Linked DNA regions of Oryzias latipes. The protein of the gene in region 1 interacts with the protein of each later gene in a pairwise test. Links are inferred from orthologs where the notes say so. Each region holds a gene or a part of one and is shown in the gene's direction. Other genes may lie near its edges. The genes, in order: exoc5, ras-related protein Rab-4B, beta-taxilin, rab4a and edrf1.

What was found.
Region 2: the proteins of exoc5 (region 1) and ras-related protein Rab-4B interact in binary tests that used the Homo sapiens proteins (3 or more experiments, as listed by UniProt). The two-hybrid records come from large-scale screens. The link is inferred for Oryzias latipes from reciprocal best matches to the Homo sapiens genes EXOC5 and RAB4B.
Region 3: the proteins of exoc5 (region 1) and beta-taxilin interact in binary tests that used the Homo sapiens proteins (3 or more experiments, as listed by UniProt). The two-hybrid records come from large-scale screens. The link is inferred for Oryzias latipes from reciprocal best matches to the Homo sapiens genes EXOC5 and TXLNB.
Region 4: the proteins of exoc5 (region 1) and rab4a interact in binary tests that used the Homo sapiens proteins (3 or more experiments, as listed by UniProt). The two-hybrid records come from large-scale screens. The link is inferred for Oryzias latipes from reciprocal best matches to the Homo sapiens genes EXOC5 and RAB4A.
Region 5: the proteins of exoc5 (region 1) and edrf1 interact in binary tests that used the Homo sapiens proteins (3 or more experiments, as listed by UniProt). The two-hybrid records come from large-scale screens. The link is inferred for Oryzias latipes from reciprocal best matches to the Homo sapiens genes EXOC5 and EDRF1.

Annotation. Positions count from the first base shown.
Region 1 is NC_019880.2:12,937,006-12,943,099, reverse strand, and holds the end of exoc5 (exocyst complex component 5), read left to right. Parts: intron 1-30; coding exon 31-75; intron 76-163; coding exon 164-304; intron 305-383; coding exon 384-466; intron 467-558; coding exon 559-768; intron 769-1,028; coding exon 1,029-1,176; intron 1,177-1,257; coding exon 1,258-1,366; intron 1,367-1,620; coding exon 1,621-1,741; intron 1,742-1,867; coding exon 1,868-1,954; intron 1,955-2,058; coding exon 2,059-2,167; intron 2,168-2,273; coding exon 2,274-2,489; intron 2,490-2,847; coding exon 2,848-3,036; 3' UTR 3,037-4,032; downstream 4,033-6,094. UniProt on the Homo sapiens protein: Component of the exocyst complex involved in the docking of exocytic vesicles with fusion sites on the plasma membrane.
Region 2 is NC_019871.2:14,614,767-14,619,960, forward strand, and holds part of ras-related protein Rab-4B, read left to right. Parts: intron 1-950; coding exon 951-1,031; intron 1,032-1,260; coding exon 1,261-1,375; intron 1,376-1,503; coding exon 1,504-1,566; intron 1,567-2,938; coding exon 2,939-3,093; intron 3,094-3,205; coding exon 3,206-3,301; intron 3,302-3,679; coding exon 3,680-3,795; 3' UTR 3,796-3,855; intron 3,856-3,930; 3' UTR 3,931-5,194. UniProt on the Homo sapiens protein: The small GTPases Rab are key regulators of intracellular membrane trafficking, from the formation of transport vesicles to their fusion with membranes.
Region 3 is NC_019880.2:1,118,154-1,125,089, forward strand, and holds the start of beta-taxilin, read left to right. Parts: upstream 1-2,715; 5' UTR 2,716-2,730; coding exon 2,731-2,928; intron 2,929-4,577; coding exon 4,578-4,625; intron 4,626-5,541; coding exon 5,542-5,815; intron 5,816-6,936. UniProt on the Homo sapiens protein: Promotes motor nerve regeneration. May be involved in intracellular vesicle traffic.
Region 4 is NC_019861.2:24,495,566-24,502,796, forward strand, and holds rab4a (ras-related protein Rab-4A), read left to right. Parts: upstream 1-3,461; 5' UTR 3,462-3,595; coding exon 3,596-3,611; intron 3,612-4,222; coding exon 4,223-4,303; intron 4,304-5,151; coding exon 5,152-5,266; intron 5,267-5,453; coding exon 5,454-5,516; intron 5,517-5,595; coding exon 5,596-5,750; intron 5,751-5,916; coding exon 5,917-6,012; intron 6,013-6,228; coding exon 6,229-6,344; 3' UTR 6,345-6,373; intron 6,374-6,905; 3' UTR 6,906-6,918; downstream 6,919-7,231. Other genes in the region: phf10 (PHD finger protein 10), read right to left, coding at 193-340, 436-545, 647-796, 888-1,012, 1,108-1,191, 1,311-1,441, 1,550-1,659, 3,017-3,091. UniProt on the Homo sapiens protein: The small GTPases Rab are key regulators of intracellular membrane trafficking, from the formation of transport vesicles to their fusion with membranes.
Region 5 is NC_019873.2:19,103,801-19,110,260, forward strand, and holds part of edrf1 (erythroid differentiation-related factor 1), read left to right. Parts: coding exon 1-97; intron 98-212; coding exon 213-357; intron 358-530; coding exon 531-632; intron 633-1,228; coding exon 1,229-1,350; intron 1,351-1,479; coding exon 1,480-1,591; intron 1,592-2,661; coding exon 2,662-2,809; intron 2,810-2,910; coding exon 2,911-3,022; intron 3,023-3,195; coding exon 3,196-3,307; intron 3,308-3,389; coding exon 3,390-3,674; intron 3,675-4,513; coding exon 4,514-4,585; intron 4,586-4,706; coding exon 4,707-4,842; intron 4,843-4,925; coding exon 4,926-5,120; intron 5,121-5,208; coding exon 5,209-5,460; intron 5,461-5,607; coding exon 5,608-5,826; intron 5,827-5,930; coding exon 5,931-6,157; intron 6,158-6,242; coding exon 6,243-6,401; intron 6,402-6,460. UniProt on the Homo sapiens protein: Transcription factor involved in erythroid differentiation. Involved in transcriptional activation of the globin gene.

The DNA of each region.
Region 1 (6,094 bases):
AGGTGGTAACGCCTGTGTTTGTCTAAATAGGGTTATGCACACTGCGTGGACGTCTACATCAAGCAGTGTCAGGAAGTGAGTACTTCAAGTTTGGCAAGAAAAAAGTCTGCCTTTGACTTGGCTGCTTTAATTGACCCATTTTTTGTTGTTGTTCCTGTCTCAGGGTGCCTACACGAGGAACGATGTGTTTGAAGACACCGCAGCGCTTTGCCAGAGGGTCAACAAGCAGGTGGCCGAGGTCTTCAGCAGTCCAGAGACAGTCATGGCTAAACTCATCCAGAATATCTTTGAAAACAAACTACAGGTATGTTTTCCAGTGATTGAGTTTGGATGTGCCATTACTTAAACATTTGTTGATTTTTGGCTGGCTGTTTATTTTACAGGCGCACGTTAGAGAGAAACTGGATGGAACTCGACAGTCTGATGCAGAACAGTACCTCAAAAACCTCTATGACCTTTACACCAGGTGGTTTTGCTTGTCTTTTTCTAATTTACTTCCTGTATGCTCTATAACTCTAACACTTTTTGTTCTTATCTGTTTCTTTTCTGACCTTTCAGGACCACAGCATTGGCTACCAAGCTAACAGAGTTCAACCTTGGTTCAGACAAGCATACGTTCCTTTCCAAGCTGATAAAAAGCATCTTTTCCTCTTATTTGGAAAGTTACATTGACATGGAAAGGGAATACCTTCGTAATCGAGGTGCCATGATTCTGCAACGATACTATGACTCAAAGAATCACCAGAAACGTGCAATAGGCTCTGGCAGGTACGATTTAGCATAAACGTCATGAAGCATTTCAGAATCAGAAATACTTTATTGATCCCATACGTGGGAAATTTGTTCGTTACCATAACAACTGACAGGAGAAAAGACTAAGAATAATATAATTAATAATATAATTTAAAAAAAAAACAAGAACAAGGAAAATGTGGTATCATTTAAAGAGCCATTTTTGGTCTCAAATAAACGTTAGGGTTTCATACAAAAAGATCAAAATGCTAAACGTTTTTTTGTTTTTACTTTAGTATTCAGGAGCTCAAGGAGCGCATCAGACAGCGCACCAACCTTCCACTGGGCCCCAGCCTTGACACCCATGGAGAGACCTTCCTGTCCCCCGAGCTGGTTGTTAATCTGCTGCAGGAGACTCGGCACGCGTTTGAGAGGTGTCACAGGGTGAGCCTCTTCTCCTTCTGTAACGTGAAGGAACATGTATAAACGCAGACTTTGGTGATTTTTTGTTTTGTTTTATTACAGCTTTCAGATCCATCTGATCTGCCTAAAAATGCCTACTCCATCTTCCTACTGCTGGTTGAACATCTGTGTGTGGACCACATCGACTACGCTCTGGAGATTGGCCTTTCAGGTACTTCTGATGAACCAAATTGTACTCTTAAACTGCTTTCTGAGGGCTCATTCTTCTCACTATTAGGAGCTTCAAAGCAGTAGATTCAGGAAGTTGGGACATTAAATAAAGCATAACCTGAGGATCTCCCACAATAATGAAGAGCTAGAAACATTTTAGAGCTAGAATCTCTTTTTCACTAGCCGATAAGCATTAACATTTAATGATCAATATAGCTTAAGTTTGCGTTTGCTGCATTTTTCCTAAATTTTCAGCGATTCCCTCATCCGATGCCAAGAATGCCAACCTGTACTTCCTGGATGTTGTTCAACAGGCAAACTCCATCTTCCACTTGTTTGACAAGCAGTTTAATGACCAGCTGATGCCTCTTATAAGGTCAGTTGTGGTTAAGAATTATCATCTTTGTTTGTTATGCATACTCAGATTTCAAATTACCTTATTTATTTATTTATTTATTTTTGGGGGGGTTCTTTGAATTAAATTTTCTAAACCTGTCTTCAGTTCATCTCCAAAGCTGGCAGAGTGCTTGCAGAAGAAGAAAGAAGTGATCGAACAGATGGAAGTAAAACTGGACACTGGAATTGACAGGTGATTCTTTTTATTTATTTATTTTTTAAGCCATTGATCAACTTTTTTGTTTTTTATTTTGTTTTTTAACAGAAACCAATAATATATGTTTTTGTTATGCACAGAACACTAAACTGTATGGTGGGGCAAATGAAGCACATCCTGGCAACAGAGCAGAAAAAAACAGATTTCCGGCCCGAGGATGAAAACAATGTCATGATCCAGTACACCACAGTAAGAGATGCTTAGCTCGCACGCAGAACAAACAACGCATTGGATGCAATTCATAAAAATCACTTCCAGACTTTTTCCCAACTAGTTCTTCTCGTTTCCCTGACAGGCCTGCTCAAAGGTCTGCGCATACGTCAGTCGGCAGGTGGAGCACGTGCGCAAGTCCATGGATGGGAAAAACGTGGACACGGTGCTGACGGAGTTGGGGGTTCGGTTTCATCGACTCATTCACGAGCATCTACAGCAGTTCAGCTACAGCTCAATGGGCGGCATGCTGGCCATCTGTGACGTGGCTGAATACCGCAGATGCGCCAAGAATTTCAGGGTAATCTGTGACAAAAGGTCAATGTGTCTTTTGTGACTGACTGCATAAACTCTTTCTGTTATACTAATAATTATACCTAATTATTACTTTCACCATCATTTTGGTATGATGATTTCACAGCTGCTTCCTTGATTAAAAAAAAGTAAGATTGATCTGAATGCCTGATTGTTTTCATTTTGATTGTTAATTTCTTTTTTAAATGAAGCAATGAATTTTTGTTGAAACCATAATTCATATTGAGAACATCATACTTAATAATAAATGGATGAATTACCTATCAAGGTTTCTTGTCATAAGAGCATTGTTCCCCTGCCTCTTTCTGAAGTGATAAGCCGTTTTATTTCTTTCTGTTCACAAGGTCCCTCTGGTGCTTCAGCTCTTTGACACACTCCACGCCCTCTGTAATCTCCTGGTGGTTGCTCCTGACAACCTGAAGCAAGTTTGCTCAGGTGAGCATCTCACCAATCTGGACCGGAACCTCCTGCATGCTTTTGTCCAGCTCCGAGTGGACTACCGTTCTGCCAGACTGGGCCGACACTTCAGTTAATGACCGGAGAGCTCACTACTCCACAGACGGATCTGTGATTTGATGAGGGATACGCCTTTAAGATGCCCCATTGCCCTTTGGATGCGTCAGTGTGGGGCCAGCAGAAAGACTATGCTGGCAAAAAATTAAGATCTTGAATGTGGGAAATGTGCATTTCATTGAGTTTTCCACCTGATCGGGTAACGTTTAAATCCCTCATTAACTTCCTTTTTTTTTTTTAATACTAATCTAAATGTATAAGGCCTTTGATATAGGCAAATGGACAATATATATATATTTCTCTGCTTACTTCAAAAATTTTTTTGCTTGTGCCAAAAAATAAATAATTAAGTTTTGCAGCTGCACTGGTGCAGAAGAATTGGCCGTGGAGCTGCTTCAAAGGGAGACTATCAACAATCAGGCTGCGAAGTCGGACTCAGCTCTGCAGTTGCACTACATTTTAGAAACAGTTACTCTTTGTGATGACTCGCTGGAGAAAGGACAGACAGTCTAAGCTAAGTTAGACACATATCTGTCTAAGAGAAACACATGACCACCTCTGCACCTTTTGACCCTTGACCACAAAGAGGAGGTTAAGAGGCCATCACAGAGAAGTATGACCTGAGCGGCAGAGCGGTCTAAGAGCCTCTCTGGAGGTTTGGGTGGTCCTCTTTTGGCCGGGATGATTGGTGTGATGGGTCAGTGATTGTCTGTCACTGTAATTGCACAGATCAACACTTGCTCATCCAGTGGTGCGCAAAGTCCAAAGACGTTGTTGATTTGATCTGCAGTGTTTCTGGGTCAGGGGACGCCGAAATGCTGACCTCTGGTGATTAAAGAAACAAACTAGAAGGGATTTCTTCACACAGGGCTTACTGAAGGTTCTCATTAATTATCCTTTGCACAAGAAAGGGAAGATAATGCCCCCGATGCCTGAAATGATTCCCAACACAAAGCTGCTTTCACTGTACTGCTGTTTACTTTAATTAGTTACTCAATAAAAAAAGTTACATTTTATTATTGTCCATCTCTGAGTCTTTTTCTTATTTTTGCTGTGAGTGAAGAGTTTTCTGTGCAGATGTTTTCTCTGCAGATGTCACTTTCAAAGTGAGATGAAACAGCCTTTCTTTTTTCTGGAAGTCATCAAGTATTCATAGGAATTCTTGCCACCAGAGTAAAGTTATTTCTTAGACTTCAGGAAGTGAGCAGAGCCAGAGGGGATTAGATATCTACGAGTTGATGAATTGTGTGCTGTAGTCATGAACTGGGGAGAACCAGGGAGATAGAGACGGCTGAGAGCTCCGTTCCATTCCCGGCTGGCTAGTGTTGTGTAGAGGGTACACACTGTGCTGTGCGAGTTCAAACAACATAATTAATTAGGCTAATATTAATATTATCAATGCCACATAAATTCAATTCTCTCCAGCCTAATCGCAGCTGGATAGCTTGTAAAAATTATTTTGTTAGGCCCTGATGCAAACAGTGGGTCTTTTCCAAACATTTGAAAACTATTTGTTTTTGTGCTGATTAATGTGGGGGGGTGCGGGGAGGGGCTGGGGGGAGCTGAGCCAGGCCAGACACGATAACCAGTGTGGAGACGATGGCAGCGGCATAGCCTGGCCCCAGGGAGTCCCTACACAGGCACATGAAAAAGGGGGAATTCTATATGGGGGGTTTATTGTGGGTTGTTTTTTTTTTTCTTTGCATGGTGAGTGTTTGAGCAGGTGCAGGGGATTAACAATACTGTCAAAGTGGAGAGCTGGATAGGACTGTCCTCTCTAATGCTTCAGTTTGAGCAGCCCTCACACGTTCACTCATGTTAGGATTGGAGAAAGGACACGCCGGAGTCGTTCCTAAAGAAGTTTCTCCGTTTTTGATTTTTCGTTTCAAAGTCATACCTGAGGTGAGGTCAAACGGGTCCAATATCTGACAAGATCATCTCCACGGGTGCAATAACTCCCTTTCCCAATGATTTAGTTCAAATCTTGATTTTTGGATCATGGTTTGGTTCTGGTCCACTGTATGATCTTACAAAACAACAACAAATAAATAAATAAATGTTTAAAAAAATAATTTTTAAAATGTACTAATAAATGGTAAAAGCGGTAAATGGCATACACTTATATAGCACTTTAAAACATTCTTAGAAGGCCCCAAGCATTTTACAGCCAGTTCCATTTACACACACACATTCACACAATGCAATAAAAAAAAATCTTTCAGTTGGCCTATGCTAAACCTGGTTTAATGTAATTAAACAATTTTAGTTTAGTATGACACGCGTTTGACACTTTCTATTTAAACAAATGCAACAAGGATGCAACGATTCACTTTCCCCACGATTTGGTCTAGTGATCAGAGAAGTTTCAGAGATTTCTCTTGTGTTTTCTTAAAATGCATATTTACATGCGTTTCATTAATATCTGCTAGAACTGTTAGATAATTCAATTAAACCAACTTTATCATTCTCCAAGGAGCAGTTTAGAAAGTGCATTGAAGCAGAATGGAAGACGTTGTAGGTCACCAAAAAGAGCTAAACAAAAAGATGGATACAGGGATAGATAGAAATACATACAGTGCCTTTGCAAAAGTATTTGGTCCCCTTGAACTTTTCAACCTTTTGCCACATTTCAGGCTTCAAACATAAGACATAAAACTGTAATTGTTTGTAAAGAATCAACAATAAGTGGGACACAATCCTGATGTGGAACAAAATTTATTGGATATTTCAAACTTGTTTAACAAATAAAAAACTGAAATATTAGGCGTGCAAAATTACATTAGTGCAGCAAACTCTCTCCAGATGTTCAATAAGGATCTGAATGATCCAATGTTGGCCTACATGACTAATAATGATAATTACAATCCACTTGTATGTAATCAAGTCTCCTTATAAATGCACCTGCTCTGTGATAGACTCAGAGGTCTGTTTAAAGCGCAGGCAGGTTTGAGATACTGTTGTGGAGAAGTTTAAAGCTAGATTTGGAAACAAAAAGATTTCCCAAGCTTTTAACATGCCAAGGAGCACCGAGCAAGCGATAAAATTGAAATGGAAGGAGTAACAGACCACTGCAAATCT
Region 2 (5,194 bases), on another chromosome or scaffold:
AAGTGGAAGTCACTTCGCTTCCCTGCAGTCATCAGTTTGACCTCTACCTGTGTTAGTGCTTGTGAGTGTAAAGGAGATTCTAAGAGCACCAAAAAGCTCTATTTAAACCTCACAACAAACTGAATAGCAATCTAATCTTTTTTTGTTGTCTTTTTTTTAGCTGCTACATTAGTTGACTTAGTGAGCAGCTGAAAACTCTCCAGCTGTTACCATGATAACGGGGAACATCTACACAAGTCACTAATCATTTGCCGGCTGGCTTCTCTGCACACTTGGTTTAAGGTTAAACTAAACCGCAGTCTTTGGATTGTAGGAGGAAATGTGTTATTTGGAGTCTCAGTTCTCCCTAAACTAGAGCAGGTCTTTTCAGTTCCATGTGGTCCTTTTTTATGCTAGACTCCCTTTTTTTTCCCCCATTAAAAGAAATTTTATATTTTAAAGGTAAAAATAGATTTCTAGCAACCAAGAAAGTTTCAAAAAAGTTTGATTATTTTCCTTTCCTCTTTTATGGCCTTGATCGTGTCTTTTATGTGTGCTGTAGGACACTGTTCCCTGGTAAACACAGTAACACCACAGTCTGCGCTGTGGACTGCTTCAAATGTCTTTGGTCTGAGTCATTTTAGAGCCGGGTTGTTGCCGAATGAGCAAAGGTCCACTGTTTCTAATAAGGAAAACAAAGCAGCTGTTCAGTCTGTTAAATAGTCTTTCAAAGCCACATTTAGTAAATAGTTAGCCATTATATTTAAAGTTTTGATCATTTAGACATTTGGAATTGTGAAGCAGAAAACTTGTAAGCAGAACGACATTGCTAAGCGAGGTTCTGTGATTTTGTTGGGTGTAATGTTTTTTTTTTATAAGGTTAAGAGTCAATTTAAAGACTAGATTTTTTGGTAAAGTATGGACTTGTCCCAGATCTCCTGACTTTTCCCCGTCCTCTCCTCCACTTTCAGATTTCCTGTTCAAGTTTCTTGTGATTGGCAGTGCTGGGACGGGAAAATCCTGTCTTCTCCACCAGTTCATTGAGAACAAGTGTAAGTCTGTTTTATTTATGTATTTTTCCAGATGATTAAACTGACAGTGTTGAGCTCATCTTGGCTCATAAGAATCTTGTGGGTTAAAGATGACAGCTTCAACTTCTAAACAAGCACATCATTACCCCATGTTGTAGGTCAAAAGAGATAATTGCGTAGTTCTTGGAAGGTGTTGTTTCTGGCAGGTCGGTGCATTCCTCATAATTGTTGTGTTTGTTCCTCCATGCAGTCAAACAGGACTCCAACCACACCATCGGTGTAGAGTTTGGTTCCAGAGTAATCAACGTTGGTGGGAAAACGGTCAAACTGCAGATTTGGGATACTGCTGGACAGGAGCGATTTCGGTAGTTCAATCTTGCAGATGTTTTTTTTATTATTTTTTTAACTTCCCCTAGGCCTCCTCAGTTGTATTTCCTGTCGTGATGTGCTAATGCTGTCTCTTATGAGCTGAGGACCTGCTTTCTCTTCACAGCTCAGTGACACGCAGCTACTACAGAGGAGCAGCTGGAGCCCTCCTTGTCTATGACATTACAAGGTACAGCCGTCCCTGCTCCCACTCACCCACCACCTTTAGACAAATCCTATGCAGTCAAGTGAAGCCGCATGTCACCAAAAAACAATTCTCCAACTTTCTGCTTCAGTAGACAGGGATAAAATGTTTTCAAAACACCATCAAAACCACAAAATGCTGCGTATTGAACAGCTGCTAAGACCCACTCTGATGACAATTGTCTTTTCTTTTACATATATAGAGGAAATTTATATTAAATTTACATTTCTGAGTATTTCTTTATTCAAATTGTTGTGAATCAGGTGGAGAAAATATAATCCTATTTGAAAAAAATATCAAATTTGTTACTAAGAAAATTTGCTGGGCGCGCCACAGCCTCCCTGCTCTGCTCCATTCTGATGCATCTACTTGTAGACAAATAGATCCGTGTATGTTTCTGTTCTCCTCGTCTGAGCAGCCATCTGACCCAAAACTGTGCGGCTGAATAGCTCCAACGCTGCTCGCTAGTTCTGTAGCACCGGTAATGTTAGCTTGAGGGTGTGGGGGGCTGTAAGCTAGCGGGAGAGCATGTAAACAGAGAGCTCTCAGCAACAGGGGAGGGTAAAGGGGCTTGTCAGAGGCAAATTTCTGATGAACTACTTACTGTTGCTCTGCAGAAACTATTTCCTAGAAAATGACACTGGTGTTTTTTTTTTTTTTTTTTTTTCTTGGCTAAAAAAGGGCATAATGATATTTAAAGGAACAAAGGGAGCACTTTGAAAATAGATCAAAATGTGATCAAAGTGGGATTTTAAGTCTCTGCTTACCGACATCGTATGTTTATGTTAGCTCCTTGAACTTTGCATTTCAGGAAGTGAGCATTCATGCAGTCAGATGGAAAAACCAGAAGCAGGCCTGTATTTCTCAAACTGTTATGAGCGAAACGCCGATGCAGCTCGACAGACATGTACCGGTAATGCTGTTTGCAATCGTAAAAAGGCCTTCGCTTTTGCAAAAGGGCGGGGGCAGAGCACAGATTGACAGCAGCTATAGAACAATGCAGGACAGTTCTGCGTTGGACGGCACAAGTCCATCAACCAAAACTGCCAAGTAAAGCGAAAGCACAGGAAGTGGACGGATGAGGCTGTGGAAGGAACAGCGGGGGCAAGATGTAGAACAATGGAGTGGGGCGAGGGGAACATGAGAACCACAATCCCACTGAGCTGGAGTTGTGCCATCGGTGTGCGGAGGAGGAATTGCGTCAGATTTTCTTGCTATTGAAAGCAGCTGTAAAGCATCAAGAGCCCAGGCCTCCACCCTTCTGTCCCACACATTTGGCCTCATGTTACCATGGATATCAAGGTTTGGTCTTCATACTGAGCTGTTTCACAAAAATGTCCATCTCTGTGTCTTACAGCCGAGAGACGTATAACGCCCTGTCCAACTGGCTGACTGATGCACGGACGCTCGCTAGCCCCAACATCGTCATCATTCTGTGTGGCAACAAGAAAGACTTGGATGCAGACAGAGAGGTGACCTTCCTGGAAGCTTCACGCTTCGCTCAGGAAAATGGTAACGGATTTGTCTAGAAACATTGTGTGTGTCCTCGCTGAACATGTCTTACACTTCCTGGATCCGTCGTGTCCCCCTTTGACCATCATGTGGTTGTTTTCTGTCCACACAGAACTGATGTTTCTAGAAACAAGTGCACTGACAGGCGAAAATGTGGAGGAGGGTTTCCTGAAGTGTGCCCGCACCATCCTCAACAAGATAGATTCAGGTATATTTTAGTCTTTGGTAAACAGGCATGTCTCTTTGTTTGTGTGTGTATTTGCACAATTTATGTTGTTTTGGGGACCATATTGTAGTTTTAAATATGTTCTACATTCAAAAGATTTAATACCTTGAAGTCCCACTCCAATCCTCTTTTAACATATTTTAACTTTCTTTTCCACTGATCTTTTTATTACGATTATCTCATTTTTAACCAAAATCAAAATCCGGAGTTGTTTTCCTGCAGATCAGCAGTAGTTCATTAGAAATTCGCCTTTTGAGTTGTGGGTTGGTGTTGAGTTACCCCGCCCCCTCTTTTAAAATCTGTTTTATTGTATTTTATTTTGGTAACAGTTTTTCCCATTCTCTGCAATGGTCTCTGCAGGAGAGCTGGACCCAGAGAGGATGGGTTCAGGGATTCAGTATGGAGACGCGTCTCTAAGGCAGCTGCGACAGCCGAGAGGCACAACAACACAGAACAAGCAGCAGTGTAACTGCTAGGGGTCAGGCCACGCCTTAACCTGAGCCTGCAGCCCCACGCGGACAGGACGCCCCCTACAGGTCAGTGAGCGTTCTTGTCTGAAGTACTTAGACAAAAACAGGCCTCGCATCAACTTTTGGTTTTTGTTTGCTCAGTCCTTCAGTTCAGCTCCAGGTGTTTTGGTGTGTGTGACCATTCACCCTATAGTCTCACTCACCTTACATCACCTGGATGAGTGAGGTCACAAAGACTCCTACAAGCCCCTGGCCCTCGCTAAGCCTCCTTACCTGAGGGGGCCATCTTGCCCCTGCATCTAGGATGAAGCATCCCTTCAGTGTGAGCGTGATGGGGACATAAGGACGTGATGTCCTCATCAGTTGCTTACCAGACAAGGACGAGTCAACGGTGGTCCATATGGGCTGCTGTTGGTCAACCTTTTGATTTTTATTTCTTTTTTTATTCAGGTTTTAGAAACTTTGCTTTTTGCACTTGCACATTTCTGTCTGTAAATTCCTACTGTCACTGTTTGAAGCACTCTTATCTAGCGTCTCCTGACATGACTGATGATGAGCCCAAAATTAAATGTGATTGTGGAAACGTTTGTATTTCGAAACATGTATACTTAAAGAAATTGAAAATGATAGAATCTACCACATCCTTTATCCTTTTAAAGTTTTCTTGAACATTGAACCTGCTAACTATTGAATGTAAAGTGAGCCTCAGCTGGATGTTGTCTCTAAAGGCTGGAATCTGTATTTTTATTTGGTTTGCATTCAAAGTGTATATGTGAATATATAAAGAGTTTTACAAATTGTGAATTTATAGTTAGAATTCCTAATGATTCCACCTTTTCAACACATTTTGTTTACTCAGTTCACTGTGTAGCTTAAGAAGCACGAAAATAATATTTTTATTCCATTTAAAATCCCAAAGTCCCAAACGTACTTATTTATATATAAAATCTCTTTTTTTTTTTGGCCTGCCGCTGCTGGATTTTCTTTTTCCTCAACCTACTTTTGAATCACTTTCTACAAACACATGCAGCACAAGGGATGATCCTACAAACGACAGCAGGTTGTGCTTTGTTTTTGTAGATCCCCCTCTATTAAGGTTGGCTTTTCCCCAAACGTTGCCGATTGGAAGGGATGCACAGGAAGTGATGACTCTATCCTTGTAAGTCATCGTTGCCCTTCAGGTTTGTTTTCTAAACAGGCCTTTAGAGAAGGGGAGAAGAAAAAAGTGTGCGTGTGTGCACACTGAAGGGTAACTATAATATAGAACTGTCCAAAGTATGTAGAGTCCATTCGCAGGTATTTGGGGTTTTCCTCCTCTGAAAGTGCACTTTTATTTTCAAAATGTCATGTATGTTTTGTTTATATACTGTATCAAAAGAATTGTACATTTTATTTTAAAAGTCTA
Region 3 (6,936 bases), about 12 Mb from region 1:
TGCAGAGAGGGACAGATTTGTGAAAACGTGCGAGGGCCAACCAGTGGCCCTACATTCTCTGAACCCTTTTTATAACATTAAATATGCAAAATGTACGGAGCCCCTAAAGGGCCAGTGAATTAAAAAAATGGGTGCGCACCAGTTGGTAACGGATGTGCAACTCTGGAAATGGCGTCACGTGAGCAAACTGAGTTTTCCTTTGCTTTTTGACTTGTCTACAAAGAGATTGCAGCTTTGCTTGCTTACCGTCACAATTACATCATCACTAAACGTCATCGTAATTGAGTTTTAAAGTCACGTGGTTTGTTTGCACCAGTTCAGGACAGGTTCAGGAAGAATGAAGATCATCGAGTAAACTCTATTAATATTGGTGAATGCATGCAAAGTGCGTTCAAAATGGGCTTCCAAAGGGTCCAAATTATATTTGGTATTTGGATAAATGGCTGTTAGTAACTGGTGAAAAAAAAGACTAACTATGCGCATCCGTTCGTTTTTTGTTTTGTTTTTTTACTTTATGATATTGTGAGGAACTTGAATGCTGCAAAGTCTTGGTGTTGCACCTTAATCTAACGATCCTCGATCTGAGCTGTAAATTCTCGTTGAAGATCGTTGACAGACGTTCATTCTTCACTGAAAGGACGAAGCCCAGATGATCACAGAGAGCTGCGTCCAAGAATATTTCATTTACGTGATTTAGATTAGGACGATGCATATGAGTCAACGTTTTAGCAGGTCTGATGGTTTGGTGCCATGTCATCTGCTGCTGTTGGTCCACCGGGGTCTCCGTAGTCCACAGAGATTCCACAGAACTTCCCGCTTCTCTGTGCCGATAAGCTGCAAGGTGATGGTAGTTTTATTTTCCAGCAGGACTCGGTCCCTACCATGTGCCAAAAGCGGCGTCCGTCGGTGACCAACACGAAGTTCCTGAGCGTCACTGACCAGAAAACTCATCTGACCGGAACCTGATAGAAAATCTGCAAAGAAGATGAACGACCTGAAGACAGACAACGCAGGCGACCTGAAGACAGACAACGCAGACGACCTGAAGACAGACAACGCAGACGACCTGAAGACAGACAACGCAGACGACCAGAAGACAGACAACGCAGACGACCTGAAGACAGACAACGCAGACGACCTGAAGACAGACAACGCAGACGACCTGAAGACAGACAACGCAGACGACCTGAAGACAGACAACGCAGACGACCTGAAGACAGACAACGCAGACGACCAGAAGACAGACAACGCAGACGACCTGAAGACAGACAACGCAGACGACCTGAAGACAGACAACGCAGACGACCTGAAGACAGACAACGCAGACGACCTGAAGACAGACAACGCAGACGACCTGAAGACAGACAACGCAGACGACCTGAAGACAGACAACGCAGACGACCTGAAGACAGACAACGCAGACGACCTGAAGACAGACAACGCAGACGACCTGAAGACAGACAACGCAGACGACCTGAAGACAGACAACGCAGACGACCTGAAGACAGACAACGCAGACGACCTGAAGACAGACAACGCAGACGACCTGAAGACAGACAACGCAGACGACCTGAAGACAGACAACGCAGACGACCTGAAGACAGACAACGCAGACGACCTGAAGACAGACAACGCAGACGACCAGAAGACAGACAACGCAGACGACCTGAAGACAGACAACGCAGACGACCTGAAGACAGACAACGCAGACGACCTGAAGACAGACAACGCAGACGACCTGAAGACAGACAACGCAGACGACCTGAAGACAGACAACGCAGACGACCTGAAGACAGACAACGCAGACGACCTGAAGACAGACAACGCAGACGACCTGAAGACAGACAACGCAGACGACCTGAAGACAGACAACGCAGACGACCTGAAGACAGACAACGCAGACGACCTGAAGACAGACAACGCAGACGACCAGAAGACAGACAACGCAGACGACCTGAAGACAGACAACGCAGACGACCTGAAGACAGACAACGCAGACGACCTGAAGACAGACAACGCAGACGACCTGAAGACAGACAACGCAGACGACCTGAAGACAGACAACGCAGACGACCTGAAGACAGACAACGCAGACGACCTGAAGACAGACAACGCAGACGACCAGAAGACAGACAACGCAGACGACCTGAAGACAGACAACGCAGACGACCTGAAGACAAACAACGCAGACGACCTGAAGACAGACAACGCAGACGACCTGAAGACAGACAATGTAAAAACTTATGGAGGAACCTGGACTGCTCCAGCTCAGCAGCTCCACACGCTGACGGTGGTCTCCAAACCACAGAGCATTGATGCAGAAACTCAAACCAAACGTTGAGGACATGGAAAGGATCCGTTTTCAGAGGACTGACCTTTAGCTGAACACATCCTGATCTGAAATGTTTCCATCTATGCGTGATGATTCTAAATCATATATATATATTCAGCGATATGACATGATTTTATTTGGAAATCACCTCCATTTAATTGAAGGTTAAAAAAAGAAGGCGTGAAAAGTGGGGCGAAGTCCTTCCAGGGACGACTTCACGTGTGAATTTATCTCTGCCGTCATCACAGCAGCAGGAAGAATAAATGAACGCTTCTAAGAATAGCGCTCACCTTGTGAAACTGCATTCTGGGTTTATTTGTCAGCATCAGCTCCTGCGTTTATACGGCGAGGAGCAGCAACGCTGTGGCAGCGGCGGCGCAGAGCAGACCAGGCTTTGCATGAACCAGTTTAGAGGAAAACCTTCTGAGCCGTGGGGGAGCTCTGACCCTGCAGCAGAGCGTCCTGCCTCTCCCTGTCAGACTGAGCCCCCTCCCTGGTTTATTTTGAGGAGGTCTTATCACAGCTGTTGGGTCTGTGGTGGCAGGTCGTCCGAGCCCCTCGACACGCTGCCTATTCCCCTCCGGCCTTTGGTCCTGGTAAGACCGTGTCTTCTCACTGTCCTGCTTCTCAGCAGGCCTTTGCACTGAAATAACCATGAAAAATAACCACGAAAAAGCCTCTGCTGGAAATAATCCGCTCATTAACATACTAACAAGTGTTGCACGCAACCTAGCAGCTGTTTGAGAGGCTGTTAACCGCAGTGAGAAATCCATCCCTGCTCCGTCGAGTCTTTGTCAAGTCTCTGTTTGAACGCGTTCCTCAGTCAAAATGCTGAATTTACAGCAGATCCTTCACAGAACTGAGCTGCTGCTGCTGGACCTCTCTGTTATTTGAGCTAGATAGAGACCAGAGAGCTGTTGGTGTCACAACCGCCGATTCTGGCTTCACTACGAGGAGATTAGAGAGTAAATAAATAAATAATGCTCCCATATTAAGAAGTTCCTAAAATAGCTAGTGGCTGTGGAACAGGTGCCATGTGCTGCGCTTGTGAAAGCACAGGCAGCGCCAAGGCTGCACTAATTTTATGCTCACAAACAGGATCTGTACAAGACTGACACAAGCTGACAAAATCACAGCCGGCGACGGCAGAACGCACGGCTGTGCTGTGAAAACTCCCATCAAGGCGCTCTTTCTGGGGTTTTTAACACGTTCAGTAGCATTCATGTCATAGTGGAGGACGTTTATAAAAAATTAAATGAAAAAAGATCTTAAAGCCGCATTTCTTTATCCAAATCAATGCAGATCAGGAGCAGCTGAAAAAAAGCTGTTATCGTGTCTGTGATGTAGAAAATACGCCCGGTGGGCCACGACCTCCTAGCTCCTCCCCTTTCTGATCATCCACCTGCAGACCAACAGATCTATGAACGTCTCTGTTTTCCTGGTCTGAGCTGGAATCTGGATCAGAACCGGACGGATGGATGGATCTGATGCTGCTCTGACGTTAGGTTGGGGGTTGTGAGGGGCTGTAAGCTAGAGGGAGTGTTTGTAAACAGATGGATGATGGGAGAAGGGGGTAGGATTACTCTGTGCCAATTGTACCACCAACAGCTTCGAGGGGATTTTTGGATTTTGGCTAAAAACTGCATCATCCTCGTTAAAAGACCACTTTTAGAAACAGACCTAAACATGGAGACCTACCCCAAAGATGGACGAACTGAGCGGGACACAAGGATACCCACCTGCCAATCAACCCCCCCACACACACTTTATGAAACTTTAAACTAAAGCAAAAGTTAAACAGCTAATAAATACACCACCATCCTCTGCAACGAACATAAAAAACTGTAGACATAATAGATAAGCTACCAGCTGAGCAGAAGTTAGTTTTCTTACCTTTTTATGGTCAAAACCTCTGAAAGCTGCCTCCATTGCTGTTAAGAGGATCTCGTCCTGGTTGGTAATAAATACGGAAACAGAATGAGGAAGCTTTCTAGTGAAACGAGAAAGACGCCGTTACATCACCATAACATCAGCAGCTTTCACCCTAAACCAGTTTCTGAATAAAACCCAGTTATCTTTTGACTGTGGTCTCAGTCTGTCTGCTGTTCTCACCAAACGCATCATGAAGCGCACAAACGCAGCTGATCGGTCTTCTCCAGTGCCTGATCCTTAGATTGATCGTCCACTTCAAGATTCTGTTTGGAAACCTCTGAATAATCCTTGATCTCTGTTTGTTTTTGTCCAGAGAAACATCTTCAGTCTTTTTCTCCACTTCTCCTTCAAGTCCACCAAGGTAGGCTGGAAACTACCGGGAACGGTTCTGGAGAAGCTTCTCCCTCTCTGTTGGAGCTCCGCCATCCGCTGCACTGAAAACAATGAACAAAACAGACTTCCCTGCTGCTCTTCAAGAGTTCTTACATTCATTGTAGTATTATTGTGTGCGCTGCTCCTTAGTGTACGGTGTCAAAATAACCCCCTGTAGGATGACAGACGTTTAAGGCTGTAGAACTCCTCACTTCACGTTATCCCCGTGTCTCAGACAGGCAGGAACATCTTCACACTTTTCTCTTTTTTGTCTAAACCCCTAAAAGTTCCAACCTTGATAAAAAACAACATCCAAGATTTATAAAATGAGAATGCGGGTAAAGATTTATGTAGATCCGGTAGAACAAATGCATTTGTCGAAGAGATTGATGGACAACAGCCAATCAGGACGCAGAACATAGGTGGGCCCTCCATGTTTGCCCCCATTAGCTTAAGTGGACACCCGGTTTTCACGCTCCTTACTTCTTTTTCTAAACGCAAATATGACGTCACCGATTTCACTAAGTAAAAACCTAATCAATGCAAATATTTGGCAAAGACATTTTACGAATCAATGATGATGAAAACTTGGATGGTTTATAAAAGCGTTTTTAAATCCTTTTTTTGTACAAAAATTGTTCAAACGCAATGCATTATGGTCTATGGTTGGCAATCATCGATGCACACTGGTTTTTTGCAGACTTTGGGGAAATTTCAGATACTAGATTTTTGTAGATTCTGACCACGTAGTGAAATTCTGACCCACGTTTTTGTTTCTGCCGCCTCACGGCTGCTTAAAATGAGAATCACCGTTTGTTTACCCGTTAAAAACAGAAGACCGGTGTTCGCTGTGCTCCAGCTGTTGCTAAGGACAGTTCTAATGGCGGCCTTGCGCTCCTCCGCAGAGCCAGCTGTCGTCCTTGTTTCGGTACCAGCTTGTCGTAATGGAGGCTTGTCAGGAGAGCTGCTCCGCCCCCGTGGGTCCCAATGCCACGCCGGCCCAGGATCACCACATTGACCTGACAGAGGACCTCGGCCAACAGCTGGAGGACATCATTAGCACCTACCAGGCAGCCCAGATTCCAGCTGAGCCAGAGGATGCAGAGGAGGTCACCGCCGCCAAAGAGGCAGACGGCCGCAAGGACCAGAAACTGGAGAAGAAAATGCTGAAAAATCTAGGTGTTTTCTTCGTCGTGTTGGATTCAGCCTATTTGACTAAAGAAATGCTGTTAGTGCAGTGTGTGTGTAGGTGGAATAGTATTTGCTAAAAGGAAGACTACATCCTCTGCTTTAATTCTCACCATTTGGTTCTAAAAGGTTCTAACGGTCAGAACCAGGTCAAAGAGCAAACTTCCATCCATACCTTCATTTTCTACACTGGCTACTTCCTGTTTAGTTGCTGGTCTGTCCAGCTGCTATCGGGTTCACCCGGTCAGTTCGCCGGTCCACCACAGCGCCGCCAAAACACCCGCCGTGTAAAGATTCTGTTTTCTGAAGGAATTTCCGTTCAATGGGCTGAACTTGAAGTTCAAACGTTAATGGTTGACCTCACAGAAGCTTTAGGGAGCTTCGGGTCCAGAACAGGCCCAGATAACCAGACTTCCACCACTGTGCTTAACAGTTGTCTGGAGGTTTTTCCGTTTAACGATCTCCTAGTCCAGTTTTTTGTCATTGACAGAGCTGTGAATTATGACCAAACATCTCCATGGTTCACATCCTGGTCAGATATTGTTTTGGACCTCAGCACCACCATATGAGCCGCTGTTAGGTGGTCCACTTCAGTCCCAAGAGCTCTACAGACCAGAGCAGACCGAACCAGACTTTACCTGCATTTTCCCGCCTTTTAACCCTTGTGCTATCTTATGGGGTCCAGATGACCCCACCCTTACATTGACGTGTTCTCCCTACCATAACAAAGGTGGAGAGGATTTCATGGACACCAGTGAAGATCACAAATCATTGAAGAAAAAAGGTTCAGTGCACTGTCTAGTGGGTCTAGATGACCCAACTCCCATCGTTAACGTGCCTCGGACAGCACAAGGGTTAAACCAAGTCTGCCCCTCTCTTAGGGGGATGGAGACCTCAACGGAATTGGAATAGAGACGAAAAGGTTAATCTCACATAACTCATGTTCTGCGAGTGTCGCGCCAGAGTCACGCGTTTGCAATTAAGGAACCGCAACTCCATTTGAGTTTATGTATCCTTGGCGCAACAGCGAGCTCCCGTGATTTTAAGTAGAAACTGAAACCAACGTTTGTATTTCCAACTTGCAGCAGTTGAAATAGAAGTTTTTTTATCAG
Region 4 (7,231 bases), on another chromosome or scaffold:
TTAAAGAGGTCTGTAATCTTTCTTTACACAAAAACTGAAGTAAATTATAAGTTTTCAAATTTTTTTAAGAACTTTTAACACTTAAATCAACTTGCCTGATTTCAAAATTCCACCAAACATATTATTTAGAAAGCAGAAAAGAGTTATTGGCACTTAGATATATATATACATGTGCACAGAATACACTCTTACGGAAGAGTTCTTGCTCTTCTTGTCGTCTTTGCCGTCGTCAGCATCGTCCGAGTCAGGTTCAGAGTCCAGAGCAGGAAGCTCTGGATCCAGAGGAGGCTCAAACAGAGCAGTGTTTAATGGCAAGTAGCGCAGCTCATTGGGTGAGTACCTGGCACAAACAACACAATCGTGTATCTAAAATCTATTTACCGTTAACTGAGAGACTACTGTCACTTACGAAGAGCTAACAGTTATGGAACGTACCTTTTATAGTAATCTTGGAATTGACCTGGGATAAGAGCAACAGGGTAGGGTCCTGTTCTGGTTAGTTCTGGAGCAAGAACTTTGAACCTTCCCTGGGGCACCTGAATAACCTGAGACAAAAAGCAGAGGACAAAAAGGAGTTGCATCAGTCAAAAGCTCAACCAACGTTGCACTGATGCAGATTTATTAAACCATCTGCCATTAGACTTACGTGAGTCTGGAGGTCAAAGTAAGCTCTCCTCTCTTCCATTCGCTCCCTGTTGAAGATGCTGTTAAACTCAGCAGCTTTTTTTGCAGCTTTCTTTATGTACTCAGGAACCTTGCTTGCCTCCACTTTCTGAGGGTTCTGCTGCTGCATTTGCTGCAAAAGCACAAGAGAGTACAACTATTTGTTCGTGCGTTTCGACAATTTCTAATAAAAACTAAAGGTTGTTCTAGTCTGGTGTTCTTACAGAGTACTCCTTAGCTATTCTCTGACGCTCCTTTTCCTGCAATATCACAGAGTACTCAGAGTGTTTGGTTGGATACTCCTTTATCATCAAGTCGATCACTTCATCGCTCCGCAAAGCTGTCAATCCTGCATATAAATACAACAGCACTACATTATGTAAGAAATATAAATAAATGTATGAAGTCTGTGCATTAACAAAGAGTTTTAGGGTTGGCTCGTACCCAGGGTGCACTGCGTCTCAGTGATAACATTTTGCTCACGTAGGTAGAGCTTTTCTTTGTGAGACAGGTCTCTCCTCTCCATATCTGCACAAGAATGTTAAAAAAAATTCCCTGGTCAAAACATAATTTGGGCAGTTGCTAAATCAACCGCACTTAAACATTTCCTTTCCTGATCATTTTGTGAATTATTGTTCAATTCTTACCAGGATATTTGCGTTTGAATGACGTGACACCCAAATACTCGCTGATTTGTTCTTGCAGCATGTAATATTCTCCTGTATCATCAGGAGGCCATTTATACTCTATTAGGTTTTCTGCTGGGAAATAAGTCACCCTAGATGAGGAGGTGGGGGCAGGAACAACACATTAGATTTATAAGTTGGTATCTGACGCAATTACTTAAGAATAATGGCAAATTGTAATGCAAAAACAAGTAGCCTACCCAAGCTCTTGGCTGAAGGTGTCACAGCTCCGAGAGCTGTCCCCTGAACCCATTCTCCTCCTTTTCGGTGGCTGGCTCCCATCATTAGATACCTCATCAATTACATCTTCCTACAGAAGTGGAAAAAAGATTCACCAACATTTTTTTTCAAACAGATGAACACCAAAATATATAGAATCGAAAAGCTTATTGTACGGAGCCCCTAAAGGGCCATTGATGAAAAAAAAAAAATGGAGGAAAAAATTTTTTTTTTGAAGTAAAAAAAAATTCTCTTGGAGTAAAAAAAATTCTTTTGGAGTAAAAAAAATTTTTTTTGAAGTAAATAGGAAAAAAAAAACTAACTGGTGCCCACCTGAAACTAACTGGTGCGCACCAGTTAGTTAGTTTCAGGTGCACACCAGTTAGTATCAGGTGCGCACCAGTTAGTTTCAGGTGCGCACCAGTTAGTATCAGGTGCGCACCAGTTAGTATCAGGTGCGCACCAGTTAGTATCAGGTGCGCACCAGTTAGTATCAGGTGCGCACCAGTTAGTATCAGGTGCGCACCAGTTAGTATCAGGTGCGCACCAGTTAGTTTCAGGTGCGCACCAGTTAGTATCAGGTGCGCACCAGTTAGTATCAGGTGCGCACCAGTTAGTTTCAGGTGCGCACCAGTTAGTTTCAGGTGCGCACCAGTTAGTATCAGGTGCCCACCAGTTAGTTTCAGGTGCGCACCAGTTAGTATCAGGTGCCCACCAGTTAGTTTCAGCTGCGCACCAATTAGTTTCAGGTGACATTATGACATTGTCAGTAATATTTCGTGTTTTCAGAAAGTTTATAAGGTCCATATCCTCAACTTTAGCCATTCTCAAGACAACTGTAGCTACTTGGTGCACAATGAGCAAGCAGGTCAACTATCTGATATCTTCTGATACTAACTGGTGCGCACCTGAAACTAACTGGTGCGCACCTGATACTAACTGGTGCGCACCTGAAACTAACTGGTGCGCACCAGTTAGTTTTTTTTCCTATTTACTTCAAAAAAAAAATTTTTAGCTCAAAGAATTTTTTTTTACTTCAAAAAAAAAAAATTTCCTCAAGTTTTTTTTTTTTTCATCAATGGCCCTTTAGGGGCTCCGTATTATTGTGAAAATGGGAACATGTGCAAAACTAGTTTGACTAGGATTACACAGGGAAAAAATTAGCAACACTTTATATTTAAATGGCTACACAATCTAGTTTTTTTTTATTTATATATTTTTTCAACGTTGCAAACTAATAGAGAAATACACGAATAATAGGAGCAAATTACTTCAAGAGGAAGTAATTTGAGCACATTTGAAAACAAATGATTTTGCTAAAAGTGGCTGACAGTTGTCCTAGTGAATGGAAACGTCCGTTGGCTAGCTAGCTATCTGTTAGCAAAACATCGTCATGTTTCCCCGTAAACAACAGCTAATGGATATTTATCAAAGTAGAAAAAAATCACCTTCATGGAGTGCGCCCCAGGAGTAGCGGGACTGCTATCACTTGGTGGTCTAATAATAGGGAATAATGTAGCCATTTTAAGATAAATAATGCCCACAGCTAGGCTAATGATTAGCGGGGGAAACTACGTTTCTTCTTCTTTGGACAACCACGGACTCGGTTGACGTTTGTGTAAATTCAGAGCGCCACCTCCTAGATCCTCCAAAAAATATGTTAAAAAGAGAGAATTTGTACACAACATGCAAACCAATTAATTTACATATAGATAAAACTCTCAGCGAAATGGGCTGTTTTTAAAATTTACTTAGAACGGCGAGAATTTATTTTTCATTAATTGAAACCATAAGAACATATCCAAACATCACCCCCACGCGGTAGTTTGAGGACTATGTGGCATAAGTGTCATTTCAGAATGCTTTTATTTTGAAGAAAAAAAACCCACACACACCGTACAGGAAGTTGGAGGAGGAAATCATAGAATCCAAGGAAATCACCAACAGGACTATTTCCATCACTTAGCAAGCTAAACAAATAACAGTTTCGCCTTTCTCTGCCTTGCAGCTTAGCTGACACACCGAGGATGTCGGAGTCTTACGGTAAGGAGGCTGTCTTGCTTTATACCCGTTAGAATCTCACACACAGATGGCAGGAAAGGGATGATGAGGTCCCTTCGTAAACAAATAGCTAGCTGGCAGGCTAACCGAGCCACTGAGGAGTAGGAAGGTTTTGGCCTTTAAACTCAAATGTCAGCGTTAATAAATCTGCCTTCCGGGTACAGGTGTATTAGTAAAGCTTTATAATGCAAGAAGCTGTGACTATAGGAGATGCTATTGTTCCCGGGATAAGCACTAGGACACAAAGCAAGAGACTCCCGCTTTTCTTTTGCAAACGCAAGTGATGATAGGATATCTCTGTGTTTTGTGAGGCATTGCTCAAATTACACTATGCTACAACTGTTCAATCAATTGAACCAACATTAAACATGATAATTATCTTAGTGGGAGTAAAGAATAAATATATATATATAAGGCTTTGTTCGATCTGTTTACGACACATTTGTCTTGATTTGTATAGTGTAGACATCAGATGTGTACATGTCAACAACTGTATCAAAAAAAAATTAAGAATAGTTGAGTTTATTAATAACAAGGCAGCATATTCAAACCCTGTTTGCTTTATCTATGTTACTACTGTGTTCCCTCTGCAGACTTTCTGTTTAAATTCCTAGTGATTGGAAATGCTGGAACAGGCAAATCCTGCCTTCTGCACCAGTTCATAGAAAAGAGATGTAAGTTTGCTTCAGTTGTAATCACTAGAAAAAGCTTTATAATAATGACACAGTAATTGCCCGACTCTTTTATTTAAATATCTTTAAGGTCCCACTCAAAGACAGTCGTTATTTGTGTGTTTTTAACATATTTTTGTGACATTTTGTTCTCATTATAATGGACATTTATGTAAAAATTAAGCCTAAAATTGCATCTCTGAGTATTTCTTTATTCAAATCACTGTGATTCAGGACCAGTTGCTTGTAGATGTGACATAGAAGCTACTATGGCGAGCTACAAGCTCCCTGCTCCGCTTCAATCCGATGCATCCACTTGTAAACAAATAGATCCATGAACGTCTTCATTTTCCTCGTGTGAGCTAACATCTAGCTTAAAACTGTACAGCTGAATAGCTCTAATATTGCTCGCCATTTTTGTTGCACCACTAATGTTGAGGGGGTGTGAGGGGCTGTAAGCTAGAGGAGTGTAAACAAAAGGAAGATGGGAAAGGTCCCAGTCCCGTCCACAACTCAAAGATTCATTTTTTAATAACCTACTGCCGCTCTGCAGATACTATGTCCAACACAACAAGAGTTTGTTTGCTTTTTTCAATTTTGGCTAAAACAGCATAAACATTATTTAAAAACTACTGAAAACGCTTTTACAATAGTTCAAAAGATGATCGGAGTGGGACTTTAAGCAAATCTTGATGAATATTTTTAGTTTGACTCTTATTTTTTAAACAGATTTTAGCAAAGCAGTCACAATCTTTATCAGATTAAAAAAGGGCATTTTATTTTTGTAAACAGTAGGTCATTTTAAGGTGTTGAAAATATATGACTTACATGTGATATTTATGATTTTCCAGTCAAAGATGAGTCCAACCACACAATTGGAGTGGAGTTTGGCTCCAAGATTATTAGTGTGGTGAACAAAATGGTCAAACTTCAGATTTGGGACACTGCAGGTCAAGAACGTTTCAGGTAGCTAAACATCTTTAAAAATTCCTTCTACATTGTGGATGTTGCGTTTTTAGAGATGTCGGCGGTGCACAGCTACAACTTTTTTTTTTCCATTTCTGTCTTAAATTGGCAATAATTACTAAATGGATTTGGTATGCATTTGCTTAAGTGTCAACAATGTTCCCTTTAACCAGTATATGTTTGTCAGGTCCGTCACCAGGAGCTACTACAGAGGAGCAGCAGGAGCTTTGCTGGTCTATGATATCACCAGGTAAGACGAGGTGCGTTATTCTTTTATTATGTATACTTTGACTGCTTAACCATTTGTTTTGTTGTTTTTGTGGCTTCAGTCGAGAAACCTACAACGCCTTAACCACGTGGTTAAGTGATGCTAGGATGCTGGCCAGTCAAAACATTGTAATTATCCTGTGTGGGAACAAAAAGGATCTAGATGCTGACAGAGAGGTCACGTTTCTGGAGGCGTCACGCTTCGCTCAGGAAAATGGTTCGATCTTAAGTTTATAATCCTTAGCTAAAAACTATACAGTTAACTTTCATTATACGTAATTACTCAATGGTTTACTGTTTAGCACTGACTGGCCATTAGTGTGGAATAATCATCAGCGGTTTTCATAGCGGCTGCTCTCATCCTTACTCTGTGTTTGTGGCAGAGTTAATGTTCCTGGAGACCAGCGCTCTCACAGGAGAGAATGTTGAAGAAGCCTTTGTCCAGTGTGCCCGGAAAATCCTGAATAAAATAGAGTCAGGTGAGGAGTTCTAATCTTTGCCCACATTTGTTAAACACAATTTCCAAATCCCTTCTTATCCTAATGGGATAGTCCAAGCTCAGGTGGAGCTCAGGGCTTCAGTGAGCTAGTCTGGAGTGTTGGACCAGCTGGTCCAAAAGTCTGTAGTGGGGATGAAACCTCTGTAGGTTGTTTTCTCTTTATCTCTATTAATCAGCACCATTTCTCTACTCTTAGGAGAGCTAGATCCAGAGAGGATGGGGTCAGGAATCCAATATGGGGACGCTGCGTTACGCCAGCTTCGTTCTCCTCGCCGTGCTCAGCCGCAGGGCACCCAGGAATGTGGCTGCTAGTGGACGTCCTGTTACATAGCCCTTTGAAGGTAAACGTGTTGCTGTGGGATCCCAGAGTGTCTCGGACCTCTGACATTTTTTTTGGAGTTAATTTTCAGGTACGGAAAGGGAGCCGATCGCCTCCTGTGGTTATGACAGTTGTGCTCAGTATAGCACAGAATTACACAGTCAGAGAAAATAGATAAATATTAGGATGAAATTTATGCAAGAAAACCAGGACTGATGACATTTATCTTACTATGTATATCAAATCCTAAAACAGTATTAAAATCTGCACTATGTTTTCATTGACAGCTGTTATCTACTGGATCAGTACAGAGCTGTATTCAGAGAAAAAAAATGGATCGGACCATTTATTGACATGAACTTGGATTTAGGCAACCAGTTACAGTTAGTCTGCAGTTTGTTTTTCTGAAACAATAGTTGTAGGTTATGTTGAATATCAACTTTGCAAAAAGTGTTGATGCACCTCAGTGTAATTCTTCCTGCAATGCTATTTACTATAGTATGTTTGTGTGTCTTTTTCTCCACGTTTGATTTTGTTTTGTTTTTGGAAACAAGTTTGTGAAGACCAGAAGAAGAGCAGCCACATAGAACCTCCACGAATGCAGATGCGGGGGGCTTGCCGTGCCGGTTACTCCACCTTCCTCCAACTTTTGCACGGACCCTTCAGAGCATCTGTTGTCATTTTTGCATGTGCGGAGAGCTGTGAAGACCCCGCCCCCAGCTAAGGAACCCAGAAGACCACACTCATCTTCAAAAACAGAAACATAATTTAAAGCTGGACCAAAATCTCTCTGGCTCTGTGGCGAGAAGGTTTCTCCTCAGACGTAGCTCCCTGCTTGTCACCTGCTCTCCAAGCCTGTTAGACTTTCCTCTATCTATTC
Region 5 (6,460 bases), on another chromosome or scaffold:
TTTACCAGCGTCTAAATGATCAGAAATGGCAGCGGAAGAAAAAGAGTAAAGAGCACTGGTATCAGAAAGCCATCCTGTCAAAGTTTCTCTACTACAGGTAAGTTTTTGTTTAGGATAGTGTTAGATATAATTTGGTGCAATGTTCTACTTAAGGGCGTGTTTCTTGTTACATAATCTGTCCAAAAATCACATGTTTTTCTTTGTTTCTGCAGCATAAATGGTGATGGGGCTGCAGAGCCTGTGTTAGACAACATGAATGAGGGGGATGATGACAAAAATGCTGAAGAGTGCAGCTCCTCGTGGCCTGCAACCTTTACCAGCCCATCAGATGCTCAAGAATCAGAAATTCCTGAACAGGTAGCTTTACTAGTGAGCTCAATAAGTATGGTCGGGTCAAAAAGCTGTTTTCAGACAGTGAGAATTTTTGTGGCGGGCAAGAATTTTTTTTTTTTTTTTTTTTAGTTTGTTTTCAGTTCAATTACATAATGCCCAAAAATATAATGAACACACTGATGCCTTTTGATACTCAGGAAGGTGTTTCTGCGGACAGTAAATTTGCTCTGGGCCAGGTGACATCAGTATTAAAAGAGCAAAACCTCCCTGCTCTCTTCAATGAAGGCGAGAACAGCCAGGTAACAAAGTTCTATTCAAATGTCTGGAATTTCACCACAAACAAGAGCTGGATATTGTTTTTATTTTCAAAGATTATTCAATGTGTTTATAATTTCGAAATAAAAAGGAAAGTTTAAGAAATATTTAACCGTTATTTGCATTCATTTAGCTTTGATCGACTCAGGATATTAAATGACTACTCCGGCCACAAGGTGGCAGTATTCCTTATCATTATGACTAGGTGCATATAAAATACTATGAAGAGTATAATAATAGAACAACACAGCGTCACCTAAGAGTGAAGAGATATAAGAAGCACCACTGAGGGTTGCAAAGGATATGAGGTGAAAACACATTTGTGAGGTTTTTTGTTTATTTAAGCTTTGAATTTTATAAAGATCAGCACTATCTGATATACTTATGTTTAAACACTTTTCATACTGGATTTGATGTATTGTTCGCGTATTTTTATCAAATGAATTGATTGGAAAAAAGTACAAGACTGTGTTTTATGGAAAAATGGGGGGAAGATTGTTGAAAAATTAAACAAAGATTGTGATATTGATTACTGTTAAATTCTTTCTGTACAAGTTTTGACGACTTGCATTCTTTGCAGGGTTTAAGGAATGACTTTGTGCGAAACATCATGTGGACCTTTGAGGACATCCACATGCTGGTTGGATCCAACATGCCCATATTTGGAGGTGGTCGATACCCCGCTGTCAGTCTGAAGCTAAGGTTTCAATCATCATCCAGTTAAAAAAAGTCTATAATTTTAAGGCAGATTGATTATATACTTATTCTAATTTTATCTGTTTATAACTTCTTTTTTTTTCTTTTAACTAACCATTAGCGTCTGTTTTTCAGGGACAGCAATAAACCAATCAACATTTTGACAGGTATTGACTACTGGCTGGACAACCTGATGTGCAATGTCCCAGAACTGGTTATGTGTTTTCATGTCAACGGCATTGTTCAGGTAAATTTCTAATATTGTATTATATTAATTAATTATATTATTCACTCAAAACTACCAAATCACCAACAATTGCAAATATTGTTATATTTCCAATTCACACAGATGTCTTATGTCTTTGCAGAGACATCATTTTGAATATTCTGAGATTATATTTGTTGAAATTGTAACCAGGAGAAAACATGTCGATTTTTAATCTTTCTATTTGAAAGGACAGAATTTTGTAGTATCAGTGCCACCTACTAGTGCCTTATGGCTGCAAAAATATTAAAATACAGCTCATAAAACTGGTCTTATCAATTGTCCCACACCTGGAAGTGTGAAACATGCCCTCCAAATTTGACCCATCCCCTGGGGATGGCAGTCACAGCCTCACTTGGGAACTATCTAACTTATTTAATGCTGAATGTCAATCGGGGAGACATTTGGTCACGTCTATAATAAATGGTCACTCTATCACAAGGCAGCTAAGCTGGTTTAGTAATAAATTAAAAGCTGATCAAGCAAAGAAATCTGCTTCTAGATCATTTATCTTGTATGTCTCAGATAGTCCAGTAATATTATGCTTTAAAGTGAATTGTATAGGGTTCCCTCATTCATCACAGGAGTTACGTTCTAAAAATAACTCGAGATAGGTGCAATCCGTTGGGTAGGATGTATGTTTAAGGCTGTAAATCTCCTTACTACACACTTTCCTCACTTTTCTCAGACAGGAACACTTTCACACTTATCTCTCTTTTTAAACTCTCAAAGTTCAAAGCTTTATAGGAAAATACGTAGAATGAAAATAATTTTTTGCTTGCGATATGTAGATTTGGGAAACTGAACGTATTCTAAACAGGCGACAGGCCACAAAAGACGTTGACTGACATGGTCTACAGCCAATTAGGGCGAAGAACACAGTGCACTGTTTTAAAAAAAAGCATACAAACAGTTGAACTGCGGCATAGCGAGGCAAGACGTCACGTTTTTTTTCTTTTACAAATCTTTACTGTTGACCTGTTATGGGGATTTTGTTTTGTAATTTGAAATCATACTTTATGATTTTTTAAATTCTTGTTATTTTCTCCCAGAAATACGAAATGATTAAAACAGAGGACATTCCGCATCTGGAAAATTCCACTTTTTCCACAAGAGTTGTGAAAGACATCGCCCAGAATATTCTCTCCTTCCTGAAGTCCAACTGCACCAAAGAGGGGCACACTTACTGGCTTTTCAAAGGTTGGAAACAAAAAAAAAAACATTTTCACGTGATTGGTGCTTGTTGTTCTGTGTTGTTTTTACTACCTGATGATGTCTTTGTTTCTCTGCTCAACCAACAGCGAGTGGAAGTGACATCGTGAAGCTTTATGATCTGACCACTCTGTGTGAGGAAGCCGAGGAGGAGAAGTACCAGAATCCCTTCACTCTTCCTGTAGCCGTGCTGCTCTACAAGTGAGTGTTTTCTTCTCCTGACAGGACCGTCTGAGTTTCCAAAAAAAAAAAAAAACTCAATGGAGTTGATAAATAAACCTTTGGGTTGGACCTAATGAATGTTTTAGAATATTTTTCCTCAGCGTTCTGTGTTTTGTCTGAGATGATGTTACATTTTTGGTCGTGTGGCGCAGGGTGGCCAGCAACCTGATGCTGAAGACGAGGCAAAACAGAAAGCACTATGGCCCAGTCAGAACTCTGCTTCTAAACTGCATCAAACTTCTTGATCAGGAGAGACATCCTCAGGTAACTGAAAGTACACCTTTACACTTTAAGTTTAAAATGAAAAAAACAACAACTTTAAAGCTTTTTTTTTTTTGGTGCCCAGATCATCGCGTCAGCTTACTACATGCTGTCAGAGCTGTTCCAGCTCAACGAGCCTTCTGAAGACGATGGAGGGGAGTCTTTGAGGGCTGGTGGCTCGGAGGACAGTTACAGCGATGAAGACAGGGTGGAGGAGGAGGAGGAAGAGGATCTCACAGAGGACAGTGATGAGAACAGCTCCTTCAGTAACGGCTCCAAGCTTCAGGATGATAGCAAAGCGGTGGCCGTGATCCGCTCTGTTGGGGAACTGTCAGTCCCTGAGAAATACAAATCCACTCACCAGATCAGAGTGAGTGACCGCTTTAATCTCGCCTTCTTCCACTGTTGCGCTCAGGAGCCATTTTCAACAGAAAATGCACTCATTTATTAAAGATAGATTATTTTTTTTATCTTCTGAATTCCTCGGAACAGCAAATAAAAGAGAGGATGGGACTAAAATGTTCAGTTCCCACCATTGACTGTATATGAGGACTGGACCCAGTAAGTGTGATGTCACCCATAGGCCGCATCTTACAAATGCCACAATGTTGGAACCAGCCGACGTCAGTAAATGGGGATTTGTCTGAGTCGATCTGAGTCATCATTTCTATGGCAACCACTCTCACCAATCAGGAGTGAGCTTGTTGGAAGTCCACAAATCTACCATTTGAAAGCTGACTCAAGAGAACCTGTCAATTGAACATTTTTAAATGTTCAACGTGAGACTGCATACTTTTATGATATCATAAAAAAATTTGGATTAGCAAGAACATGTTAATAAAAAAGTTAGTAGAGCAAGAATGGTTATTCTGACAAATAGAATGATTAAGCAATAGCTATTTATTCCTCTATAGAAGACTATAGGATTTTTGGCTTCTTGGAACCAGCAGGTTCTTCCTGTTTGGACCATGAGGGTAGAGGGGTCACTAAGTCCAGTTCTCATATACAGTCAATGGTTGCCACTTTATTGATTTTTTTCTTTTCTTTTAAATGTTGTATGCTCTTATTTTGAAATTGCCATAGCTTTGACCCCACTAGGAAAAGCCTGAGTCAGCATGACAAAAGCATTAGTTTTCTGAAAGTTTGGAGTAAAAACGGGGCATTTTTATAGCAAATGTTGCTGATAATTATGTTCCTTTTTTTATGTAGCCAAGCGGTTCTTTCCCCGTCTCTCAAGACAAGGAGGAGCGGTGCAGACACATCCTGAGCTACGTGCTGCTGGCAAGTTCTTCAAACACGTGTCTCGTCAAATAAGTCTCTTCTTCAGGATGACAGGAGACGCTTTTTGAAAGAGCTCTGCAGGGATGGAAATTCAAATAAATGTCTGTGCTGGGACTCACAGGGGTTGAAGGCGGTGGACGGCAGCATCAAAAAAGAAAGCGATCTCCCTGCTGCAGATCCAAACACACCCATTCCCCTCAAATACGAGGACGGAGCCTCTGCTGCAGAGAAAGGGATTTCCCTTCTGCTTGAACGAGGTCAGTCTACTTTCAGTGCTTCATGCCATGCCTCACTAAATCAAAGCGGACACTCTTGGTTTTGATGCATGTTTTTGCTGAAGCAGCGGGGCCTGTGCAGGCAGACCAGAAGCACCCGACGCGCTCAGGGATGATCCCCGGCTCCTGGCAGTACCACATGAAGATGCAGCTGTTCCTCAAAGCTTCCAAGGCCTACTATGTCCTGTCCGACGCGGCCACTAACCTGCTGAAGTACGGCAGAGCCCTGCGCTACATCAAGCTATCCATGCAGTGCTATGGTGAGGCCATCCTGTTTAGCATCATTATGTTAATTATTTAAAGTTTTATAAACTAAAAAACGGATTCTGTCTTTGATTTTTGGCCCAGATGCTTACTGCTCAGTGAATGGAACCCTAAGCCCACAGGTTCTGCAGTTCCACAGTCAGTGCCTGTCTCTGTGCGGCGACATCCAGCTGATGCTGGCCCAGAACGCCAACAACCGAGCGGCTTACCTGGAGGAGTACAGCTATCAGACTAAAGACGATCAGGAAATCCTGCACAGCCTGCACAGAGAGAGCAGCTGCCAGGGTCAGTCACTACACAGTGATGTGTTGACATGGAGGCCCTTTTCCACTGCTGGTGTGCTTTATCTTTTTTTTCAGTTACGGTTAAAGCAAACCTCTTAAAAGCTTTGCTACAAAAGTACTGTGAGATATGATCCTTGAAAGTTTTTTTTTTTTTTTAAATTCCTTTTGGATTCAAATTTGTATCTTTTCCATCCTCTAGCCTTTAACATGGTGACTGACCTGGCCATGGACCCGGAGTACCAGCTGTTTGTGAGCAGCAAATGCTACGAGGCAGCGCACGAGCTGCTCATCTCTGAGGCCCTGAGAGATGATAACTCTGATCAGCTGCCCCAGCTCCTCAAAAGGCTGGGAAACATCCGCAACGAGATGGGAGTCTTCTACATGAATCAAGCTGCAGCCTTGCAAACGGACAAAGAGGGTACTTTTTTTGTTTCTTTTAATTCATAATACCTTTTTACTAGACGGAAAACCGCATAACAATCACAAAGATCTGGAATATAATCATTATTTCCCCTCTCTTAGTGAAAAAGCCGGTGTCAACAACTGAGCAGGAGTTGTGGAAGAAGAGTTTTTCCTTCTTCGAGAAAGGAATCGGTGACTTTGAGGCCATCAGGGACAAAACCAACACGGCGCTGTTGCTGTGCAACACGGGCCGCTTGATGAGAATCTGTGCTCAGGCTCACTGCACCACTTTGGCCGACGAGAGCAGAGGAGAGTTCTCTCCAGAAGAGGCGCTTTACTACAACAAGGTGCCATGTTCATCTCCTTTTCACCTAATATCCAACACATTTTTCCACTCGGACAGTTTGTTTAAATATGCTTTTGGTATTTCAGGCTATTGACTATTACCTGAGTGCCATGAGGTCACTGGGAAGCAGGGAGACTCACCCTGCAGTCTGGGACAGTGTGAACTGGGAGCTTTCCACCACATATTTCACTCTGGCTACACTTCTGCAAGACTTTGCCCCGTTATCCAGAAAGGCCCAGGAGCAGGTGGGTTACACCACTTCTCTGACTTATGTAGTTCTAATAAAAAACAACATTTACACGCA